Linked DNA regions of Daphnia pulex. The protein of the gene in region 1 purifies or fractionates together with the protein of each later gene. This does not show direct contact. Links are inferred from orthologs where the notes say so. Each region holds a gene or a part of one and is shown in the gene's direction. Other genes may lie near its edges.

The links.
Region 2: the proteins of syntaxin-17-like (region 1) and vesicle-associated membrane protein 7-like purify together in Drosophila melanogaster (affinity purification with western blotting; 4 studies listed by BioGRID, with this or other methods). This does not show direct contact. The link is inferred for Daphnia pulex from reciprocal best matches to the Drosophila melanogaster genes Syx17 and Vamp7.

What each region holds. Positions count from the first base shown.
Region 1 is NC_060017.1:5,925,175-5,928,636, reverse strand, and holds syntaxin-17-like, read left to right. Parts: upstream 1-1,241; 5' UTR 1,242-1,382; coding exon 1,383-1,505; intron 1,506-1,571; coding exon 1,572-1,964; intron 1,965-2,029; coding exon 2,030-2,391; intron 2,392-2,459; exon of another isoform or gene 2,460-2,480; coding exon 2,481-2,565; 3' UTR 2,566-2,641; downstream 2,642-3,462.
Region 2 is NC_060018.1:6,537,181-6,541,069, forward strand, and holds vesicle-associated membrane protein 7-like, read left to right. Parts: upstream 1-1,589; 5' UTR 1,590-1,676; intron 1,677-1,811; 5' UTR 1,812-1,881; intron 1,882-1,950; 5' UTR 1,951-1,957; coding exon 1,958-2,164; intron 2,165-2,229; coding exon 2,230-2,367; intron 2,368-2,429; coding exon 2,430-2,520; intron 2,521-2,607; coding exon 2,608-2,675; intron 2,676-2,745; coding exon 2,746-2,838; intron 2,839-2,987; coding exon 2,988-3,059; 3' UTR 3,060-3,205; downstream 3,206-3,889. Other genes in the region: uncharacterized protein LOC124188813, read left to right, coding at 467-509, 574-666, 732-1,198; ribosomal RNA-processing protein 8-like, read right to left, coding at 3,206-3,413, 3,477-3,553, 3,615-3,774, 3,841-3,889.

The sequences.
Region 1 (3,462 bases):
ACAGCATCCTCTCGTCAGTTTCACCATCCGATGGGTCAGTCTTTGGAAAGGCGACGACGGATTCACCTGAAAAGAGATTAAAGTAAGATTTTATTAATAACGATGCGTTGAGAAACAAATCAACAAAAAACAATGGAGAGCACTTCAAAAATATTGAATCAAATCAGCAAATCACAAATATGCACTTATTGTTTTCTTATGCCATATCCTATAGTTCAGGAAAAATTACGATTTTGCCCGAATATCTGATATTCGACTGTTAGTTCTTTTGGGCATCAAATAAGTACTAAATTAAGTACTGACTCTTTTTAAATCCGAAAGTAGACAAGCAAATTACATGAGACTACCAAGTGAGCTTTGTAGCTTACGGTCAGTTATCACAATTATCTAACGTAATAACTGCCGATAGTCTTATATGTCGATAGAATTGCGTAAAATAAAAGAAACTGAAACAGCGAAACTATTGTTTTTTCTGACTGATGAAAAACGATCTAAGCCATCGTCTAGCCTTGTAAACAAGAGATATTTAAAGTTTTAAACAGCAAAATTAAAAAGATCCATGCTCTAGCTAAATCAAGACTTATACTAAAATAAGAAACAATCATAACAAACAAAAACATAAAAAAACCTAACACTCACGCAAATTATACTGCCACATTATCACAACCAAAGTTCTTTCTTTTAAGGCACCGTTCTCTGGACAAAATATTTTCCAAAATTCTGATCAGAATCAAAAGAAGAAGTAAAAGGAATTAGTATAAACTTTACAGCACAACTTACAGTAAAACTTACACCACGAATATGAAGAGAATTTCAGTTGGATATTTTGCATTTGTCCTTGATTATCTTTGGTTGCAATTGAAGAACAACCTGGATCATGCTATTTTCCTGGATTTTTTCCTAATGGACATGGATTTCACTGTTTCAAAAAATCAGATATCAAAAGAATTGATAAGTGTTGAGGAAATAAAAAATACAAATTGTTAAATCAACTAAGCGCAATACACACTTAATCTGCTTTACCACATTATGCTACTTAACAAACATTTTGAAATGCTAAAAAGCTCACTTTAAAAACTGCATCGAAACGTGAAAGACAGTAACTATAACCGTACACACTAACCATGGCAGTAGAAAGATCATGTGATGTGATTCGTCTACTACTAGATAGCTTAAGGTTGATTCATTTATTACTAGATGGCTTCTGTGTCAAAAATATAAAAGTTGATTCATTTATTACTAGATGGCTTCAGTGTCAACACAAGAACAGAAAGAACATAAACAAAGGCCGTTTTCAGTCGTAATAAGAAATAAGCTTACGAAATCCTTCAAGTGTGAAAATAAAAATCTATGTTTTCAGCATTGGTTATGTCAGTGAAATAATGTCAAAAGTTAACAGTTCTTTCAGAGTAAGAATATATGAATTACCTCTGAATCGCTTCGCAAATGTTGCGTTGCCACAGTTTCTTGGACAGCTACAACAACATGAAAGCAACCTAAATAAAGTTGGTCTTTATGATTAATGCACATTTCTATTATTATTTTATAATTTAACTGTTTCATTTGCATAGCATATCAAGGAGAAAGATTGGGACAAAGTACGAACTGAACAGCTAAAATTACAACAGGTTGCTTCTCAATTGCAAGCTGCTCTACGAGAATTAGAAGGAGTTGGATGTCAGTTGAAACCGGAAGATGAAAAGGAGTTTGAAAATAAAATTAGACCTTACAGAATTCAAGCTTTAAATGCTGTAAAAAAATTTAAACAAAACCCGAATGAAAACTTTGATTCCCATGTATCGGAAAGTGAACAAAAGCAACAATTGATGCTAAGTCAAGAACAGATTTTACCAGAAGAAATTGAAGTAGAGCAACGAAAAATTCAGCTTGAGACATATGAAGATTTGCAAAAAGATATAGAGGAGTTACACAACCTATTTTCAGAATTTGCTCAACAAGTTCATGTAAGTCTCCTTGATATATATATATTTTTTTTAAAACAATAACATTGATAAAACATTTAATGTAGACTCAAGGAAGTACAGTCAGCAACATTGAAAGCAATGTTGATGATGCTCTAGAAAATGTTAAAGAAGGACAACAGAATTTGGCCAAAGCTGCAAAGTTTAAGGCAACTATGTATCCAGTAACAGGAGCTCTTATTGGTACTTGTATTGGCGGCCCTGTTGGCTTTCTTGCTGGCTTAAAAATAGGTGGGCTTGCAGCACTTGGAGGTTCTTTATTGGGCTTTGCAAGTGGTCGTGGTTTAAAGAAATGGCAAGAATCGGTCGTTAATGAACCAGCTGAAAATTTAACCAAAAGTCAGTCATCTCCTGTTAATTTAGGCAATACTTCTGGATCAAAAACAGTTCCACACTCAATCAGCTTTAGGTAACTTTCTAAAATATTTATAGGGATTGATTAAAATAAAAATGGTAACATTTCTTTATTTTTTTTTAAAATCTATACGTCGTCACCAGTGGTTCACATCAGAAAGAAACGATGGCGATTGATTCCAAACGTGATGACTGCGACCGTGATCGACTACATCTAAAAAACCTATAAGTGGATTACTATATTTATCTGGACTGAAACTGTAATATAACGTTTGCGAAGTTTTAAAATGTCGTATTTATGAGTATTCTCTTGTAACGTGTTGACTTAGTTAGTTAAGTATATCCTACGTCTTGTTAGTGGGTGGACTCCTGTAGTTACAAGTTGGTCGTTCTCGATTGTTGGAAGAGGCGTAAAAATCTGATTCTCCTGGATCGAAATCTTAATTCCCGCAGGGAGACTAAGATGCAGTGAATTCTAAATCGAAGAAGTCAAACATTCCATGTTTTCGAATATTTGTCAAGTCAAAGAAGTTGGCGAAGCCAAAGAAGATTGTGAAATGTATAAAGTACGACCATAAGTAGAACTCGGCGCAACCCGAAGATTCCGATCGTGTGCAAACTAGCCTGTGTTTCGTATTGTAACACACTGCTCTTGAGAAACAAAGGGGATCAAGCCCCGCTTCCCCTGCCCTTCTAGAAAACGGCGGAGTTCGAAGAACTGGGTAAGTGGATGGCAAATCTGCAAATAACGTCCCGTCTTATTATTGCTCAGAACCACGAAATAAATAAAAGAGATCCAGCCAAGTATAGTAGGATTCCAAAAGAAATTGGATGGCAAATCAATAACCCGAAACTTGACAGAATACTTAGTAAAGAAGGCTGTAAAGAAGGAGCTTGATTGGGCATGGCTTTCCATTTAAAAGTTGAAAAAGTTTCACTTCAAGGAGTCGACACAATGAGTTTACAAACATCGCTCTCGCATAAAACAAGCCAAAGAGCATCGCGGTCAAATTATGGCATCCATGATGAAAATTGCATCCAGCATCGTAATGGAATCCGGAGTTAAATGTCAAACATATTCTATTGTTCGTGGGAAGATCGTCAGATACTCTTGAAATAATGACGA
Region 2 (3,889 bases), on another chromosome or scaffold:
TTGACTTTCAAATAATACTTTCGGCGGCCATTTTTGTGTAATATGTGAATACGGCGGCCATTATCGTGTATTACGTGAATGAAGCCTAACCATAATTTCTGTAAAAATGGTTGGCAGGTGTGCTGTTCCTGGTTGTAAATCAACATATTTCAAAGGAAATCAAAAAGAAAACGAGGTTACCCTGTTTGCAATTCCTAAAACTTCATTATCTAAATGGCGAGAACTAATTCCATGTAGTTATTTGACGAGCACCTCACGTATTTGCTCCCGTCATTTTGACGAAAGTGACTTCAAATCAGGGATTTAAATTTTGAACGTGTTCCATCCTTTCAAACGTAGGAATCGTAATGCTGGAGCAATTCCCAAACATTTTCTGATAAATGGTATTGATATTACATTTCCTGTATAATCTGTAAAGCACAGAAACTGAACCATTTTCATTTTAGATACACCTAGTCGACAAGCAATGCAAAATGTTGATGGTTTCAAATGGAGAAATAACCTTAATGGTATTTTTAAATATGTTTATTTTGTTTAATATCAAATAACGCAATTCTTAAATATGTATTGTAGTGGAAACAAATGCTAGCAATGCATCAGTAAGGAAACGACCAAAAGTAGACAAAATACCTACTACGTCTAAGAGAAAAAAATTTGACAGTACAGGTATTGATAATAGTTCTCGTTACATTTTATTTATAAGAGCAATTGCTTTAAATTTTATCTGATAGCACCCTCCATGGAAATTATTAAAGAATCAATCAACATTCCCCAGGCTGCTGAAGAAGCAATTTTTGATCCACTTCCAGATTCAATCAAGGAAAATCTTGCTGTTGTCATGGAAGATACGACAGTTGCATCACCTTCTATGGAAGCTACCTCTACTATTCAAGAATCAATGGACACTCACCAGGCTGCTGAAGAAGCAATTTTTGATCCACTTCCTGATGTAATGAACGAAAATGTTGCTGTTGTCATTGATGATTCGACAGTTACATCACCTTCTATGGAAGCAAGCTCTACTAATTTCAAGTCTAATTTTGTGACATTTCAGTCACTAGTAACTTCATCAATGGTACCAAAGAATTGGACATGGTATTTTGATCAAATTAAACAAACGATTTTTTGCATTTCGATGGATCGACTACCAAATGAAAATTATAATGTGAAAAGTGTACATTTTCAAAACAAGAAGTAGTGTATTATGTCAACGGAACAATAAACAATTTACACAACCAAACAATAAAATGTAAGAATGTTTGGACACTTACAAAGAATAAACAATTTACACAACCAAACAATAAAATGTAAGAATGTTGGGACACTTAGAAAAGACCTAGAGGTTTGACAGTTGGATACTTCTACCTTTTTATTTTGTTCACTTCTTGTAGAAAAGTAAGCTGTGATTGGTCAATGAGTTTTTCATAGACCCTTCCTGATTGGCTGGCTTCACGTAGTACCTGACACACTCACTAGAGGCGCTCATCAATTTTTCCAAATCGGACCACGTTTACCCTGAAACCGGGATAGGGAAGCCAACACGGCCGAGAACCGACCAGGTATCTATTGCTCTGCTCTAGTGAGTGAGCAAACCATAGACTCTATAACGTGGTTCCGACAATAGTCAACATTGAGTCATTGACTGGAGTGGATTGTCATTTGATAATTTAAGATAGGTTGTTTAATCCTTAATACTTACAAAAATTAATTATATTCGTCCTACAACTATCCAAAACTATAGCAACGTCTTTTGAGTGTCATAATATCTGCTCCTTCATAAGTTCTGTAATCCATCGTGAGTTTCTCTGCAGTTTTTTATACACGTTCGTCAAGTTATTGATGGGATTGAAGATCGTCTGAATCGTCGAGAAAGTTTTGTTGGTATGAGATTAGTTGACCCATAAAAAATATTTAGTCTTTATTACATAATCTCATATGTTAATTTTTTAGAAGGAAAATGCCGCTGTTATATAGTGTTGTTAGTAGAGGAAACACTGTTTTGGCTAGATTTGCCAATAATTGTACTGGAAACTTTTCTGAGATCACAGAGCAAGTTCTAGCTCAAATTGGACTTGATGATTCAAAAATGACCTACTCTCATGGATCATTTTTGTTCCACTATATTTTGCAAGACAGAATAATTTATCTTTGCATCTCAGATGATGTAAATCTTTTTTTTATTGTCTGCAATTGTAGAAGATGATATATAAATAGAAACCTTTATTTTAGGAATTTGAACGTTCAAGAGCATTTTTATTTTTGAATGAAGTTAAAAAGAAATTTGTAAATACTTTTGGAGCCCATGCATACTCTGCTCTACCATATGCTATGAACACGGAGTTTTCGAAAATTTTGGCAGGGCTAATGGTAAGTCGTGAAATTCTTCTCAATTATTTCAGACATTACTGAGATTTTTTTTTTAAAACCAGAAACACTTTTCTGAATCTCGAGATATCGATACCGTTTCTCAAGTTCAAGGAGAATTGGACGACTTGAAAGATGTAATGGTGAAAAATATAGGTAAAGTGTAAATACGAGCCAGCAAGAATTTGCAACCTCCAGCAGTAGTAACATAATACCATTTAATTTAATTTTGCTCATTATTAGATTCCTTAGCGGCACGTGGCGAAAGATTAGAATTACTGGTTAATAAAACCGAAAGCCTCAGCGCGTCAGTATGTATATTTTAGATATTTTTAAATTTTACTTTGGTTTACCAAGTAAGTTATTTTAAATTGTTTTTAGGCTGTTACTTTCCGGAAATCAAGTCGAAATTTGGCTAATTCCTTGTTCTGGAAAAACATAAAAATAACAGCAATTACTGCTGCCGTGATTTTGGTATGTTATAATTGTTTTACAGTTTAAATAACTATCTTTATTTCATTCGTAATTTTTTTTTTTTTACCATTTATCGACCTGAACTACATTCTAAAATTCGGAATAATATTTTAAATGAAATCTAATTGAAAATATCTATTTTTCCGTAGGTTATTGTGTATTTTGTCGTTAGCATAGCATGTGGAGGATTGAATTGGCATTCATGCATTCAAAATAGTTGATGCACAAATTCTGCGCGTGATCTAATTTTTCTTTCAGTTTTTAAAACAAACATTCTATTTCAACCAAATACGTTTCTGTACATTCGTAACATATAATGAGTCGGTTTCTTTGTTATGATGTTCAACATTTATGTGTACTTTTCTATTCATCGTTTTTTGTACAGACAAGGTTTCAAATATATTCTTGGCATAGTTGCTTTGGGACTCATGTTTTGAATCTTGCTAAACTTTGCGAGAAAAAAGTATTTTTGAACGTTATTTTCTTTGAGTTGGAATCCAAAACGTTCAATTGTTTTCAAGAAATCATTAATATTGCTACATCTGCTTTCAACTTCAGCTACACACAAAGTACCACTGTAATTTAAAAATTACATCAATAAAGATTATTATTTTTTAAAATCTGTATGTAGCATTTACCCAATTTTAAGGACTCTATTAGCTTCCTTTAAAAAGTCATGTATGTTGGAACCCATGAGAGATAAGCAGAAGACCACCTGAACAAGCAATATCTGTTGTTTGATCAAAATTTATAATGCATAAATAATGCTGAAATACCACATCAACAGCTTTGGTTGCCAAAGGAACAGAAGCCATGTCACAAGCAGTAACTTTGTCATTTGCTGCTACAAGGTCAAAAGAGTGAACTTTATTAGGAATGGTGTTTGCTATCTGAGCTTCACCACAACCAAAATCAGCTATCACCCAGTTTCTAGGACTAAAAAAAAAATTTTCATTTGTTAAATTAAAGCAATTTTTTAGCACATGGCTTGTTTTATTTTACCCTTTCATAAGATCAGTGATGATGATATCCAATGGGTTGACTGGCCATT